2 linked regions of the Caenorhabditis elegans genome follow. The protein of the gene in region 2 interacts with the protein of the main gene of each other region in a pairwise test. Each region holds a gene or a part of one and is shown on either strand. Other genes may lie near its edges.

Evidence for each region.
Region 1: the proteins of imb-2 (region 2) and meg-2 interact in a two-hybrid assay, tested with the Caenorhabditis elegans proteins (one large-scale study listed by BioGRID).

The regions. Positions count from the first base shown.
Region 1 is NC_003284.9:13,920,021-13,929,452, forward strand, and holds meg-2 (Protein meg-2), read right to left. Parts: upstream 6,110-9,432; 5' UTR 6,089-6,109; coding exon 5,950-6,088; intron 5,897-5,949; coding exon 5,594-5,896; intron 5,313-5,593; coding exon 3,693-5,312; intron 3,650-3,692; coding exon 3,418-3,649; intron 3,262-3,417; coding exon 3,121-3,261; intron 3,077-3,120; coding exon 3,052-3,076; 3' UTR 2,623-3,051; downstream 1-2,622. Other genes in the region: Protein meg-1, read right to left, coding at 7,449-7,476, 7,523-7,663, 7,714-7,992, 8,038-8,278, 8,322-9,404.
Region 2 is NC_003280.10:14,361,900-14,370,041, reverse strand, and holds the start of imb-2 (Importin N-terminal domain-containing protein), read right to left. Parts: upstream 4,342-8,142; 5' UTR 4,304-4,341; coding exon 4,268-4,303; intron 4,220-4,267; coding exon 2,828-4,219; intron 2,655-2,827; coding exon 2,321-2,654; intron 2,266-2,320; coding exon 1,933-2,265; intron 1,891-1,932; coding exon 1,675-1,890; intron 1,623-1,674; coding exon 1,372-1,622; intron 1-1,371. Other genes in the region: tebp-1 (SPK domain-containing protein), read right to left, coding at 5,167-5,376, 5,426-5,671, 5,738-5,926, 5,985-6,483, 6,533-6,994, 7,040-7,762, 7,835-8,019.

The sequences.
Region 1 (9,432 bases), on a different chromosome or scaffold from region 2:
TTTTTCAAAATTAATTATTTACCATGCGTTTCAATATTAGTCTTGTACTATTCAGGCTATGAGACACTGCTATGATGAAAATTTCATACATGTACGTACTGAGCAAAGTGCAAAGCTGTAGGTCTTACTTTTTATTTAACAAAAAACATTAATAAATTGGAGTTTAAGATAAGTTAATTGATAAGTTTATTGCATCTATTTTAGTAAAGAAAAAAAATATATATTTTTGTTCAAAAGTTCAAAGTTAATAATTTAAAAACAACCTGAGTTTTCCATAGAACGTTTATGTATTTTTCGGTTTTATGTGTTCCAATTTCTAATTCTTTGCCGATTTCTAATTAAGTTTTTTTTTTCCAAAATAGAATTATAAAACCAATTACAATCAACCAATTTCCCCATGCAAAGGTGATTTCTCGAACCTTTGAATTTTCTCATTTTCCATGTCTTCTTTGTTGTCTTATTCGTTTTTATTCGCCTCCTTCACGTCTCTTTTCAAATTATCGAGAAACTTCTCCACATCGTCGTCGTCTCCTTCTAAGCGAATTCAATTGTCAAACCGGTTTTTGCGTTCTTTCCGACTCCAAGTGAGAAGACGACGGGGGGAAGAAGAAGATGAAGAAAAAAATGAGAAGGCGTAAGAGAAGACGGCTGAAGAAGAGTAGGCGAAAAAGAACAATGAACGATAAAAACGGAGCGACCAGGAGAGACCGAGGGAGGCGACGTTGATCGACGGTTGGGGTGGGCGGTGACTGACCCATCTTTTTTGGACTGACAGCGCAAACCGACACACTCACACACGGCATACACCTTTTTCGCACACATAGTTTTACTCGCATTCGACGTCTGAGTGTGTAAACGAGGCATTCACACTGGTTTCCCACAGTGCCATCGGTTTAGATGTACAGGTAATTTAAAATATAGGTTCGTAGTGTAGTTTTCTATAATTTTTCAAAAATAAGAGGTTATTGCACAGACGTAAAAACATGAAGTGCAAAGCCACATATCTCAATTTAATTGGACAAAAATTTCAAAATTTCCTGATATTTCCAATGATAATCTTTTTTTTTGAGTTTAAAAGACCATATTGTTTCTACTTCGTTAATATTATTTTTCGCCAAACATTGAACATGTTATATTTTGTCAGCTTCCTGGCCTGCAGTGGCATCTACCAACGCTGTCAATTATTATCTATACATCTGGTATTCACTATCCGACAAGGTTAGTTGATCGAGAGCCGACTGAAACTGAAGAGAGCAGTCTATTGACAGTCGGTTACTCGAAATCTTTACTGTCATGGAGGCGCTCTCTTCAGATGATGTCTGGCCCATTTTTTAATCAATTTTGAAGAAACTGGGATTTTGCGGCACGATGAAAATGTGATTTTTATATTTTTTGTTTTACTGAAATAATTTCAAATAATGATGAACATTTTTCAATATTTCAACAAACTTTAACACTACGAGTGTTCCCGTGTTAAGCAAATAGTAAATATATGTAAAAAAAGGTTCAAATAATTTTTAAATCAGTTAACAACACTAGGTATTTTGATTTGGCTTAAATTCAACAGGAAAGTTCACTTATGTAAAGGCAAAAAAATAATTCTATTGACATCAGTCATATAATATGCGGCAAAGGTGTGCGGTAATCGGAAAATTTTGGCAATTGGCATTACCGGTAATTCTTAATCTTCAATATATTTTAAGAAATTTTAAATTCAAATTTGACATAATTTGTCAGCTTGGCATGTATTGAGCCAGTTTTCTACCAATATAATAACTTTATAACAATCTGAGCCTCAAAATTCTATGCACTAGAAATTTGAAAACTTTTTATTTTTTCCATTGCATGATTTTTGAAATTTTTAGCAATCTGCAGCTCGCCCCGGGCATGGGGACTTAAAATATGATAATCAGTTTTCTTGTGATAAAATTTATCGTCAGATGAGACACTTTTTGAAATATTGGCGTCGATTTCTGTGGGCGTCCCAATGCCAAGCAAAAGTTATCACGTTTTAGGTTGTGCTTATTAAAGATCAGGGAATTTTTTTAGAAAAGCAGGGATAGGAGACAAAGTCGGGTCTGTACAATATTGACAATTTGAAATAGATTTTCATAAGCTGTTGTTTTTACACTTTCAAACATGAAACAGTTTTCTCAAAATCATGTTATAAGTTACTATCGAAGATCTATCTTTTGCCAATTACCAACATGTAAACTTTCAAAACTCACATTTAATTCATTCGAAAAGATAATCCTTTGGGCTTCAAAGTTTCTTTATTCTCGTTACAAAGATTCTGAGCAAAATAGCAAAACCCGGTTCCCTTACAGAATTAAGCTATGCGGCGTTAAAAATGACAGTTTCCTGCATAAAAATTTTAATTACTGGAATAAAATAGTACCTTATTTCCCCAAGCCTGTCTCAGAAATTTTGTTCGGAAAACGTCTCGGTCAACTTTTTGTTGACAATGTTTTACCCTCTTCCCCCCCTCATACTTAGTCACCGGACTCTTGCGGGTCCAAATGATTATTTTATATCTAGTTATTCATTCCTTTTTCCTTCACTTCACTGCTTTGTCGTAATTGTGTCATTGTGATTGTTGCCTGATGAATAAATATAAATAAATAAATAAAAATAATTGTATGCATTAAAATAAACAACAATAAAAACGACCGGTGAGGTTATACTTGACAGTGGCTAGGAACCCGAAAAAAATTGAGACTGAGCACTATGAGATACAAGTACAATACAAGATGGGCTGCTTGTTGAAAAAAAAATCACAGGAAAAAACTAGAAGTCGTAAAATTGGTTAGTATGGTAAGAAGAAATGGTATGGTAAAAAAGTGGGTAATAAGGCTGTTATTGGTAGGCGAGCCATTGATCAAAATTAACTGCTGAGAAGTTCCTGTTATGAGATACAAGTACGATACAAGTTGGGCTGCTTGTTGAAAAAAATCACAGAAAAACAACTAGAAATGGTAAAATTGGAAAGAAATGATATGGTACAAAATTGGGTCGTAAGATTGATGTTTGTAGTTGAGCCAATAGTCAAAATTAGTTGCTGGGAGGATCCTTGTCACTGAAATTATAAAGATGTGATATTTAACTATTTTTCCCGCTTACCTCTGATTGTCTGATTTCGGTGAATCAGCCTGGTTCAGATCATCTTCGGGATGATCTATATCGTTGCGACGAGAAGCTTCTCCTTCTGCTTGGCGTGGGAAAGATTGGGCCAGCAAGTCGCTCAATGCGTTGACATTGGCACTGAAAATTATAATTGGTACTTTTTTTATTGGAATACTTTGATGTGCTCGGCTCAGATAAAGAATTAATTGGTACGCGTGTATTATAACCAAACTTTTTTTTAATGCAGCGAGTGCCAAAAAATGCCGAGGCATCGGACTGGATTCCTGTGTGTACCTGGCATCATCTGCTCCTTCGACCGTCGCTGACACTGTTTGATTCTGCACATCCGCCGAGCCTGAGGCTCTGGCGTTTGAGCTGTTGAGAGCAGCAGACCTGGCATTCAAGTTAATAATGGATTGGAGGAAGTTGATGTTCGCTCCGCGATACTGCATTTGCACCATCGTCCGCCAGTAGTCGTAAAGCATCGCCTTTAGTGTTATTGAGAACTTTAGCACTGGAGTCTCACCTAAAATTATTTGAAATCAAAGAATACACATTTTTCCACCTACTGGTTGATGTGCCTGAATCATAATTTGGATCAACTCCAGGAAGTAGGTCGTTGTACAATCGCCTTGCAAATTGCTCAAACTCCAGAGTGTTCAAAAATTCTTCCTCTTGCCTTATCAGATCAGGCAAATGAGGTGCAGGACGTGATGAGCTTTGTTGAACTGGGAACTGTTGATTCCCGGAGCCGTGATTCATAGATGAGTTGGAGGGACCTGCTGTGGAACTTGTTTCAACTTGAGCAATTCCATGAGCCATCAAGAAGCTTTCCTGCAGACTGGGCAACTGAGGTGCAGGGCGTGATGAGCTCTGTCCCATTCGGAACTGTTGATTCCCGGAGCCGTGATTCATAGATGAGTTGGAGGGACCTGCTGTGGAACTTGTTTGAATTTGAGAGAGTCCATGAGCCATCAAGAAGCTTTCCGGCAGATTGGGCAACTGAGGTGCAGGGCGTGATGAGCTTTGTTGAACTGGGAACTGTTGATTCCCGGAGCCGTGATTTATGGAGGAATTGGAGGGACCTGCTGGGGACCTTGTTTCAACTTGACCAATTCCATGAGCCATCAGGAAGCTTTCCGGCAGATTGGGCAACTGAGGTGCAGGGCCTGATGAGCTGTGGTTCATTCGATTCCCGGAGCCGTGATTCATTGCATTGAAAAGACCTGACAGAGAACTCGTTGGAATTTGAGAGTTTGCATGAGCCATCAGGAAATTTTCCGGAAGAGCAGGCAATTGAGGTGCAGAACCTGATGAGCTCTGTCCCATTTGGAACTGTTGATTCCCGGAGCCGTGATTTATAGATGAATTGAATAGACCTGACAGAGAACTCGTTGGAACTTGAGCGTTTGCAGGAGGCATCTGGAAGGTACGATCTCTCGAACGGTTATCCATGTTCATTGCTCGAGTATCTGCATTTTGATTATTTGGCCACAAACCCATGTGTGGAGGAGCTTGAAAGCCGGCATTTGGAAAACCGTATGGCATATTTGAAGTCGGATATCTTCGTGCATGAGCCCTCTGAGCAAGTTCATAATCGTACATGTCTACAAGCCTGGGAACTCCGTGAAGCCTGGGAACACCGTTAGACAAAGGTCTTGGTACGAAATTCATTGGAACGTGGGAATCGCCTTGAGCCATCTGATTACCCATGTTCATTGCTCGAGTATCGGAACTCTGACCATTGACCTCAGGACCAATGTCTGGAGCTTGACCGCCCGTATTTTGTAGACCGTTTGCATTATTTGGAGCCGAATGTCCTTGTATTTGAACCAATCGTGAAGATCTATTGTCTGCCTCTCTTTGGTAATTATATTGCAACCGGAAAATTGGAGCATGTTCTGTTCGTGATTGCGATGACATGGTGGAAGAAGATTCAGAGCGATTTCGATTTCTTGTATCCTGAATCACTGGCTCTTGGAGGCTCGTATTATTGCTCGTTCTCCCATCTCCAATGCTGCCAAATTGATTTTTGACGCGATGTGTGGCCCGGGATGATCTCCGTTGGACAGTCCGGCTTTCGCCTTGAAACGAATTATCAGAAAAACTGTATTCGCGCCACTGATCTACGGATGGTAGATTGATGGAAACGTTACTCCGGTCACCTGCATACTCATCGCGATCAACACCTGAAACAATTTAGCTTATTAATATATGAAGTGCCAAAGAATAAATGAAGTTGTACTTATGTTTCCGATAAATGTTTCATATAAAAAATAAATAGAAATTGGAACCTTATCAATTTGTTATGTTTTGATAACTTATTTTCATTCAATTATTACCCGGTACTTCAGTAAGAAATAAAGAGAGAAAATTTCATACAACATGAATATATGATTCTCCCGACTGTTGAAGTAATGCACTGTGAACGTAGATAATTTTCTAATCAAAGTTTAGATTTGAGGCTCACCTGGAACCTGGTTCTGATGTGAGGGCGCCTGTCCTCCTTGAGACTCGTCTCTCGATTCATATGTCTGTCCACGCCGAGTTGTTGATCGTGGCGGAAAATTGCTTGCATTCCTGTTGTCCGTTTCCTGTGCAATTGTACCACTTTGGTTAGTTCTACTTTGTGTGGACGCGGATGAATCGGATTGAACGGTTGGATCATCGGCAAGAGACGTGTTTCCAGAGAAGCACAGCCAAAAATTCTCCAAATTATTTGAGCCATTGTACATGTCTGTCCAATAAAGTTGCTGCTGGTTGTGAACTGCACCTGTAACAAACCGGTTTAATAAATATAGTGAATCTAAATTTATTTTTTTTTACCTCCAATACTACGCATGTTGGTCGAAGAAACTGATTCATCACGATTCCCGACTCTCGCTCTTTCTTGGGACTGTTCGCGACGGTGATCTCCGGGTGGTGGGAGATTCTCATCCGATGAAAGATCATCACAATTTTCCATTGCCGCGCAACAAATGGAAACCTAAAAATTGAAAAATTGTAGAAAAATGTTAAGAAAAAAGAAAAAAAAGAGATTTCGCAACAACTGCAGATGAAACAGAGAGCGGACCACTGTCCACGTGTAATGGAACGAAGACTGAATGGAGTGCCTCGGAAGGAAAAGTGAGAGGGAAGAGACGCAGCAAGTGCGTGACGGAACTGTGACGATGGATATGATGAAAACAGTGCACACGCGAATTATTGATTTTACCATTGTAAACTGGAACAGATAAAAATGGAACGGTTCTTATTTATGCATGATTTTTTTCTTTGAATTTGAAAACCTAAGTTAGCTGTGAAAGGGCGAATGTGATCGTTTGAAATTTCTCAGAAACCTTATGAAATTCTGGCGTTTGAGAGTTTAAAGTATGCAGAAATTAGAGTTGTAGGGATTTCAAGAAAAAATTGCATAGTTCAGAGTTTCTCAAAATAAAATTCTCTGAAGTCTTATTGGTGTGCAATTTTCTGCTGTTGAACTATTTAAAACAGTGCTGGCCAATACTCGCTTTCAATTTTTCGGCGACTATTTAGACTTTTCCAATAAGTATGCTCCAAAAGCTATACGTTTCAGCAAGAAACTTTTAACTAAAAAAGTGATCCACACGTTTTTATCTACTTAACCTAGTTAAATACGAGCATTCGTTGATCAAATGAGGTCTTAGGTTGATCACTTGAAAAATATAAAAATGCACCGAATCAAGCCACATCATAATTGAACTTTACAAGTTTGTCCTACCATTAAACCTGAACTCGTTTTCTCAATATCTTCATCATGTGAAAAACGGTATGACTTTTAAAATAAACCAAAATAATTCAATGGGTATTTGTTTTTGAAAGATATATGTTTGGATTAGTAATTTCCAGTTTTTACAACAAATTTCAAACATTTAGAACAAAATATTTTTATCGAAATAAACAACAATAGTCGGTGAAATTGTACTGGACAGTGACTGGAAAACCGGTAAGACTGAAACTGAGCACTATGAGATACAAGTACAATACAAGATGGTTGAAGAAAATCACAGGAAAAAGAATTTCTAATCGTGAAATTGGTTAGTGTGGTAGAAATAGAGAGTGTTATGGTACAAAATTGGGTAATAAGATTGATGTTGGCAGGCGAGCCAAAAGTCAAAATTAGTTGCTGGGAGGTTTCTACTATGAGATACAAATACAGCACAAGATGGGTTGATGGTTGATGAAAATCACAGGAAAATATAATTTGTAATTGTGAAATTGGTTAGTATGGTAAAAATAGAATTGTTATGGTACAAAATGGCAGCACAGTAAGTGTGTTCTTGTAGGCGAACCAATTGTCCAACGTCTCATTCATTGCTTGGCAATTCCTTGTCACTGAAAAAAAAATTGCTTGTTATTTATATAAGTTCACAAGTCTCACCTTTGCTTGTCCGATTCTTGTGGCTCAGCTTGTTTCAAATCACTTTCAGAATGAACATTCTTGGTGCAATCAGGAGCTTCGTCATCTTGTTGGTGGAGGAAGGATTGAGACATGTAGCCTTTCACAGAGCTGGCAATATCACTGAAAAGAAATAATAGTACATCGGAATTCGTTTATTATGGTTAACATACCTTGAAGTGCTTGGCTCAGGCGAAAAGTTGATCTTTTCATCAAGCATACGAACAAAATTATCCATGTCCATTGTGCTTCGCTTTTTGATGCCACTGTATCTAATCATCTTCTCAAAGGATGGTGTTTTGGGCTTAGTTGAAGCTGCTGGAACTGGCCCGGCATGACTTTGTGAAGAATCCAAATTCTCATCAAGTGTCTCCAAGGTATTATCAAGACTGGCAGCGGGACGAATGTACATGGATCGGCTTTTGGATGGCTGTGAAGTCGAAGCATCCTCTCTGAAAAAAGTAGGATAGAAAACAAACAACAGGCAGAGTATGCACCTGGCAACATCCGAAACCTCAGCCGCAGTTGGAAGAGTTTGATTGAGAACATCCGATGAGTTTGAGGCTTTGGCAACTGAACTGTTGAGAGCAGCAAACTTGGCGTTGAAATCAATAATCCACTGAATAATGTTGATGTTGGCTCCACGATTCTGCATTTGCATCGTCTTCCGCCAGTAGTCGTAGAGCATCGGCTTCAGTGTTTTTGCCAGCTTCAGCAACTGATGCTTGGGAGCGTCACCTAAAATGATTTTAAATCACATAAACACACAAATTCCACTTACTGAAAGTGTCTGCAGCACCATTTGGAAGGATTCCCGGAAGCAAGTAGTTGTACAATTGTCTTCCAAATTGTTCAAAATCTGGAGTCTCCAAGAAAGCTTCCTCTTCCTTTGTCAGAGTTGGCAAATGGGGTGCAGGGCGTGATGGGCGTTGATCCACGTGGTTGTATTGGTTCCTCGAGCTGTGATTCATAGAAGTGTTGGAGTGAGCTGGTCTGGAACTCATTGTAACTTGAGAGCTCCCTTGCGCCATCTGGAAGCTTTCCGACAGATTAGGCAACTGAGGTGCAGGGCCTGATGAGCTTTGATTCATTTGGAACTGTTGATTCCCGGAGCCGTGATTCATGGATAAATTAAATAGACCTGGCAGAGAACTCATTGGAACTTGAGCGTTTGTATGTGGCATCTGGAAGGTATGATCTCTTAAACGGTTATTCATATTCATCGCTTGAGGATCTGCATTTTGAGTATTCGGCCGATGAGCTATTTGTGGAGCTGGAAAACCGGCATTTTGAAGACCGTAAGCTATATTTGGAGCCGGATATCCTCGTCCTTGAGCCATTTGTGAAGACTGATTGTATTGGTCGAGGAGTGCCTGATTGTATTGGTCAAGGAGTGTTGGTGCTAATGACTGGTTCAGTGCAGAATAGCTTTGGTTGTGTCCCATGGCAGTAGGTGCTCTCTGCTCCAAGAAATTGCCGTTCGCGACATCAGCGGCCAGTCTTATCCCGGTTCCAACAGCGTTTTGTCCAGTGGATCCCAAACCAGTGTAAATTCCAGTGTGATCGGAAAGAACTCGATGATCTTGGTCTCCTCCTCGCAAGTTGCCAAAAACGCTAAACGAAGTGTTCAGGTTATTTCCAACTGCTGAACCATTCAGGAAACTCGCATTCCTATTGTCCCTTTCCTGCACAATTGTATCAAAATGGTTAACTCTTTGTTGTGCCAACGCAGAGAAATTGGAGAGAACATTTGGATCATCGGCAAGAGACGTGTTTCCAGAGAAGCACACCCAAGAATTCTCAACATTATTTGAGCCATTGAGCATGTTTGTCCAATGACGTTGCTGCTGGTTTTGAGCTGAGCCTGAAAAAAAACCAGTTTAATAAATCTA
Region 2 (8,142 bases):
TAGAACTATAAAATTTTTTTAATGTTTCACTGACTTATAATTACGTACCTCAAATTCTATTGAATCCCAATCACTGAAAGTCTCGTCAGCAACTTCGTCGCGCTCTTCAACATCAATATCGTGATCCACAGCCAGTTTGAGGATATTAACCAAATGACCGGCAAGCTTCGTTTCTTCTCTTGTACAAATTGGGTTGTCGGGTAGAGGATCCGGGAATTTTTGGTGCAGCAAAAAGAGGACGTTGGAAATGTTCAAAGACATTACGAATACGGAATAAAATAATGGAATAACTCACAATTTTGGAAATAAATATAAAGTAAAATTCAAAAAATCCCGCAAACTCTGTTTTTTCGCGGTTCAACATTTCGAACCTCGAAAAATTAATTAGGTCTGAAAAAGTTGAATTGTAGTACCTGATTGCGCCCATGATGCGGCGACAACTAACGATTGTTCAATATGTTTCTGATAACTTGGTTGTTATCTTATCTGAAGGTAATAGCTGAAAAACTTACCAAAATTAAAACTGTTCTACACTACATAACCCTTTTCAACAAAAAAATTTTTTTTTTTTTTGGAAAAAATCTTCATACCACAGATGGAGAAAAAGTTGAAATTTTCAAAAAAATTAAATTTTCCAAAAAGTTTCCACATGACTTTCATGCTTTCCAGGAACCAAAAAATTTATGCTGAACCTATTTAAAAACGAAATTAACCGCGTTTTTGTGGATAATTTATGCTCGAGAAAAAATTCAAAAAAAATTACACCTAGTGGGGGACGAACCTGTGACGTCTGGATTAATGAACGCAAGTGTTCACCAATCGGCTATTCGAACGGTGGCTGCAGTGCAAAACGTTTGTGTAGCCAATTCTACACACTTAAAATGGGATTTTCAGCAAAAAAAGCACTAATTTTTAAGGCCAAAAATTTCAGCTTTGGGACCGAGTTAAGCAGATTCCAAAAACTGATTCTTGTAGCCATAGATCTGATCTTCCATTTTCACTTTGTTTTGTCCTCCTAGCAATTGCAGGGGTAACACCATTCCCTAGTTAGTTTATGTCGACGATCGATTTTTTTTTCAGAATTTTTGAAAAAACCGAAAAATGAAAAAAATGTTTTCTTTTTCTAATTTCCAAAAAAATTTTTTTTTGTCAATTTTCGTATCGATTGTTCTATTTAAAAAATCGGAAATTTTTGTTTTTCGATAATTGCATTTTTATCGAAAAATTTTCTCTAGTTTGAAAATGAGGGCTTTTGCTGTTTTGAAGTCTTATATATTTTTTGATGTTTTTTCTCATCAATATATTCAAAAATCGATGAAATATCGACATTTTTTCGATTTTGTCAGAAAAAAATCGAAAATCTTCAAATACCCCGGCAAAAAGAACCCGAAGTGAGTCGGTCGGTACTGTCCACGAAGCGATAGCGTCACACCAAAAGATGAAATCATTGAGAACTCCGACGGGATTCATGTTGATCATATTGCATAAACCGATGAACGCGCTCTCTTTTTCCGCGTTATCCTTAATATTTCGAAGTGAGTAGCAGCAAGGGCGAACGAATCGGCTGATATGGGGAGCCAGCTCTTCACCGCAACATTGTCCGAGACGGCCGATTGTGATGGCTGTAAATTTAAATACCTAGTTTCCAAGCTTTTACTATTTTTAGATATTCACCAGTATTCTCCAACAACGTCCGCTGCATATTCTGCTGGCTATTGATGACAACAATCAGAGGTTCAATGATGGGCCCGATGAACTGTTTCATTGCGGGACCCATTTTCAGCGCCAACTCTCCGAGCGCCCAAATCGCATTGTTGCACACACTGATCTTGGAGGGATCCAGGTTTTGGGCGAGAAAAAATATGAAATTGCCTGCAAATTGTAAGATTTCTGAAAATGTTTATCAAATCTGTAGACGCGGGAGCTACTTACTACTCTGTGGGAGCACTCGTTCTGGACACGCTTTCGTCAAATCTCCGAGTAACGCGAAGCACGATTGTCTGACGTCTGGCGTCACATCTAACGAGCAGAACAACATCAACTCGACCAGCTTGCTGTTTGCCACCAAGGGATCCATATGTTCCGGTAACGACTCAGCGAGTCCCGAGAGGAGATCAAGCGCCACAATGATAAAGTCCGTTTCGGGAGCTTCTACTTGATCCGGAGCCATAATGTGTTGTTGGTTTTGTTGAACACACTTTTCGATGAGACTACAGCACCTTGTGAATACCGGTTGAATGTATGGAAGGAAGGATTGTCCCATTGCTGTAAAAAGTATGAAGTCGAAACTATCTTATAATTAGTTATTTCTTTTACCAACCTGAAACAATTGCAGAAATACATTCCAAAAGTGGGAACAACTCCTTGTCCTCGTCACTCAACCGCTCCCACTTCTCCATCAACGGCGGCATGAGCATTTGCACATAAACCGGATGACTTAACGCGTCGCCCACAGAATTCGCTAGTGTTCCGATGGCATCGTACAAAATCAGAAGATTCTTTGCCTGATAGCACTGGAACGCCTTGACCAGTTGATCGAGGATCTCGCCAAGGAATGGAATGAGCTGCTCGCCAGCTTCTTCTTCGAGAGTTGCGAACGCAGAGCATGCAGCTTCTTGAACTTTCTTGTTTCCGTCGAGCGAACAGCGGAGAAGCTGAAAATTAATTTGTTTTTCTCAATTTAGTACATTACTTGCGTTCAACTAGAATTTAACTGAAAGAGTACCCCATTTTAAATCTTTTAAAACAATTTTGCAAATTAAGTCTAGTTTTTTTTTAAACTTTTTTTGAAGCACTACGAGGTTTTTTATATATTCTAAATTCTCACATTGGCGAGCACATCCTTGAAAAACTGTTGCCTGAAGTTCTCGTCGGATGCAATATGCGAACTATATCTGGACAGCGTCCAGCACGTGATCGATCGAACGAGTGGCTTCTTGTCAAACATCATAGCCAGCATGAATGGTATGAGCTCGCCAAGGTGTGGCACAACGCCGTCCATGCATCCCTCCGCGATTGCCCCGAGCGCAAGTATTCCAGACTCTTTGACCAGCCAGTTGTCATTCATCAATGTGTCCTTGAGGAGGGGGAAGAGCTTATCCAACAGATCCTTTCCAAAAATAGAAGCCAGAACATCTAAAGATGCTGCTGAACACCTTCTGATATTCCAGTCGCCACCACCATCGTCATCATCGTCCTCGTCTTCCTCATCATCCGACTCCACAAGGCCACCAAGACCATGCTGCTTCGACTTATGAAACCTAGGCTTGATATCCTCCTCTCTATCAGGAACCGAACTATCTTCATCATTAGCTTTCAACGCAGGATCTGTCTCAGAATATCGCATGGAGCCAAGCAGAACTGGTATGAGCTTATCGAGATGTGGAAGCACCATTGTTCGGCAAATATCACTATTCTCAGCAATTGAAAGCCAAAACTCGCAGGCCTCTAAGGCAATCGACTCGTTGTGATCTTGAGTCTTCTTAATAATATATTCTATGACATTCGGCAAATGAGGCATCATTTTCTCGATGTGTGTGTCCAGCAGAAGCGTCAGCGATCTACATAACTGTTTTTGCACCTCCTCATCATTGTCATTGTGGCGAGCGAAAAGCGAAGTAAGAAATTGATCTATTGCAAAATCAATTGGATCATTATTAACCATTAGAATGCAATTCACACAATTCATTGCAAGAGCCCGCATCTTCGCAGCATGATGCTCATAGAAAACAAGAAGCTTCGGCATGATTGGCCGAAGAAATTCCGACTCATACCGATCCGCCGAGTCTTCGAAAACCTTCTGAAGTGCTCCAAGAGCGCCTTCTTGCATCAGCTCGTCGGGTTGCATCAGAACTGTGGCCAGAGTGTCTAGAAGGTCCGGCCAATCGCACATATTCTCCTCCATAACGATAGTCGTGACAATGATACCTACTGTCGCACGAATCAGTGGCTCTTGATCGCCTATACTTTTCAAACATGTTGTCCTGACGAAAAACTTCACGTCCTGCGGATACTTATTCCATTTTGCTCGAATATTATTTTTAAGCAACAAGCCGGCCAGCGATCGACTCGTCGCGTCAATCATCTCCTTCATGTCGCTCAGTATGTAAACCAGATAACAACAGAACTTCTGATGCTCATTGAGCTGTACCAATTGCACTTGAACATTACGTTGAACATCTCTGTCTGTGGAGTGAGCGTGTTGTAAGAGTTGAATTACCTGAAAACTCGGATTTTGCGAAATAATCGATTTTTTAACGACGCTCACCTGCTCTAATTCGTGTTGGTCTGGTTGGAAAGCCATTTTGATTCGTCGGCATAAAGCTCCAAATTGTTCTGAAAAAAGAAACACATTAAAATCGTAAATTTAAACTTCTTAACGAGCAATTAATTAAGATTTTACGGATTGATGTCAAGAATGCAGTAATTTCTGCAGAATTGAAATTTGTGTTCAAAATATCAACCATATTGATATTTTAAATAAAATGGAGATAAATCCTGCAGCCAGAAGCAAAAATCGATGAGGACGCGTTCTCTGAATTGCTGAGAAGGGGAGAAATTGTGTTTTGCCGGCAGAAAAGAGCACTGCGGGTGGACGGAAAAGACGCCAAACCGAATACGCGCCAGCATTCACAAGGGAAATTTGAAAATAATTGTTTTATATTTTGTAACAAATATGGGGAACGTATTTATCATGATCATGGGAAAAAAATATGACAAATGTTTCAAAGCTAGAATTTCGCTGCGAGACCCGTAACCTGTAAGCCATGTTCCTTTAACTTTTGATTACTGTAGTAGGCACCTTTTGATATAAAAAATTCCCGTGTTCGAAGTTATTTAATAAAAAAATTAAAAAAGTTAACTTAAAGCTTAAAATGTTTATTTGACAAATAAAAAATGAATAAAACACGTTCATTTGGAGAAGTGTTATTTAACCAGTTTTTGTAATGAACGGGAGATCCATTTAGAGAACAACAAATTGAACACAATTGTACTAGAGGAAAGGAATGGAAAATCCATAAATGTTGAGAAAAATTGAAAAGAAGAATAGAAAAAAATGTTAAACAGTTATTTATGACTAGGGCGAGGGGTAAGGAATGAGAGAAGCCCATTAACTGTGAGAGAAATTGAATGGGAAAAAGAAAAAAACAGAACTTCAAAATCTATTTAATTGGTTGGCCCAAAATCAGCCTCAATGAGCGCTTCCCGGATGGCTTCTGTGCGCACTTCGAGAACCTTCTCGTTCTCGACGTTGCCGAGAACCTCTTCCACAATGGATTCCTTCTGTTCCAGAAGAACTTCACGAGAGATTCCTGTGAATTTGGTCTCAATCGCCTTGATAATTGTGCCGATTGTAACGGTCTTCGCTGTGGACTTCTGGAAAAAAAAAACCCGATAAAATTTCTATTATTTCTTTTTTTCTTACGTCAGTCCAATTTTCCTGATTTCCAAAAGCTTTCTCCAACGCTTCGTGTATCAATTCCAAATCTTTATCGTCGGCATCGTCCAAGACTTGCTGAACGACTTGCGAGTTCAGAGCATCATAATCCACCAAAATTGGAGAAATCTCGGCCGGCTTTAAACCATTGGAGGCGCTGTGGGATAGGCGATTTGGTATCATAGGAACCTTGAACACTGGCTCAGCTGATCGTGGGATGTCGGAATATGACTTCTGAAAAAAAAAACTTTAAATCAGTATTTTAAAATCATCATCCAAGTGAATTCAGGTTAAAATTACCTCCATTTTCACCCTGCACGAATTTGGAAGCAGCTCATCAAAGCTAGAAGACTCTGGAATCGTTGAGTCGGATTGTGATGTAAAAACGTCTCGAGATCCTTGACCGGCTTCAGACGGCACGAGCGCAGCGGCAGCTGGCTCGGCTGATGACACTGGCTCAGATGATGATGAGACGTCGGAGGACGATTTCTGAAAAAAAAAACAATTGAATTCAGTCTTTAAGATTATAATTCAAGTGTAAAATTACCTCCATTCCCACCCTGGAGAAATTTTGAAGCGACTCAGAGAGCAAGATCACAGCAGCAGCTGCACCTTCGAGAACGGTAGTCTCGTTTGTACTCTCGGTGATAGATTTCTGGAGATTGTTCACAGCATCCGTCATTTTGTTAGACAATTCGTCGACGTCCATTGCTTCTTTCTTAGAAGCAACCGATGTATCGAGATTTTCATCCATCATCTGCTCATCTGATTCTAGTGGAATCGTTTCATCCAGATCTTCATCGTCATCCTCAACATCCATGGCCTCGTGCTCAGGAGCTTCTTCCGCTTTTCCGTCTTTCTCAACCACTTCTTGTTTTACATCCGCATCGCCATCATCAACATCAATGGCCTCTATCTCACGAGCTTCTTCCGATTTTTTGTCCTTCTCAACCACTTCTCCCTTCACAACCGCATCCAAGAGCCTATAAGAAATCAAGCTACGGTCTGTGCCAACACGGAGCTTCACGTTAAACTTTCGCTCGATGCTGAAAAGGATTATTTATACGATGGATTATGAACGATATCTTAACTTACAGCTTCTCAGCCTCCTCATCAATTTCAATATCAATATGCTTGAGAAGATAGAGAATTGTTCTCTTGTGAAGTGGCATTTCGTGGAGTGCTGGGCACATGATCTTTCGAAAGTGCGAACTCCAATTGGTTGCAGATTTCGACGATCGTGAGACTTTGACAAAATCTCTCCAGAACGCGATTCCCTTTGGCATCAACTGGACACCTTCCTTCTTTGCCTCGACAATCTTCTCATGGACGAACTTCCATGCACACATATGATCGTCGAGTGTGAATTTTTCTCGCTTCTGAATCTTTTTCGGCGCATACGTTTCACGTACATTAGCTGACTGTGATCGATGGCTTGAAGGTCCTGGTTGATCCGTGGAAGCTCTTGAACGGAAATATGAAGATGTTGGATCCGAAACGACTTGAATCGGAGATGGTGGACGAATATCGTCGTGAAATACCATAAGACTGGGAGATCTGAAATAATTATAATTAAACTTAAAAAATGATATTTTCCAATACCTGTTCCTCATCGGAGTTCTTGGGGTCCAGGTAAGAATTTTGCTACGTGGAGCTGGCTGGTCTCGCACAATATCCCAGCTGACTACATATCCGTCGAGTGACAAAGCCACATCAAGCCGATCATTGTCGAGAATCCATTTACGCTGATGATAGCTCAATGGCACCGACAAGTCTTTTAATATCTGCAGTTTCGCATCCGGATCCATCGCCTGCTTCCAAAGGTTCTCGAGCATCATTTCGTTGAAATGGTGGAGCACAATGTGAGCCGACTTGATGGGAATATTCGGTTGTGATTGGAGCAGCTCGGCCCAAAATTGTTCAGTCATCAAAAATTTTCCGGTTAGACGGGCGGCGTTCTGGGAGACATGATTCCACATTGCCTTCTCGAAGGAATCAGAAATTTCCACATCTAGCGGCATTCGATTTTGAAGACGTTCGGGTTCTGGGACGGTTTCTGGGACGGTTTCTTCAAGTGTTTCTGGAATAGTTTCCGGTACTTTCTCTTTTCTCGATACGGATCCACAAGTGACTGGCCTTGCTGAAAAGTCGGAGAACTTCTGAAGACGTCTATTTGAGTCAACACGCAGAACAGTTTTGAATTTGGCCTCCAGTAGAATCTCGACATGCGGAGTCACCTCGATCTCCAGATTCTTGTAAAGAGTGAGCATTTTTTCTGGTTCCATCTCGCATTTGTAGAGAGTGGCTTTCATTGTTGTGACGTAGCTGAAAATTTGAAAATTAAAGCTTTTCGTGTCGTTAAAGTGAAAAAAATCCAAATGAAAAAGAAAAACTTACTACTCGTAAAGCTGCTCTGCCGTGAAAACAGACTCATGTTCCTGTAGATATTCCTTGAACAAATCCAAATTAACCTCATTGAACATCTCCATATTACACGTATTTTCGTGAATGAACTCCCAAATGGTCAGCTCATCGTCGAATGACGGTCTTGACGGCTTGTTCTTCTTTGCTCGAGATGACATTTTTCTGAAATATGGAAAATGAATATGTTTCCGAAATATCGTGACAACTGATAGAAAATATAACGTCGTTTTTTTGGATTATTTTGTTAAAACATCGTGCCAAATTGCCGTAATTTTAAAATA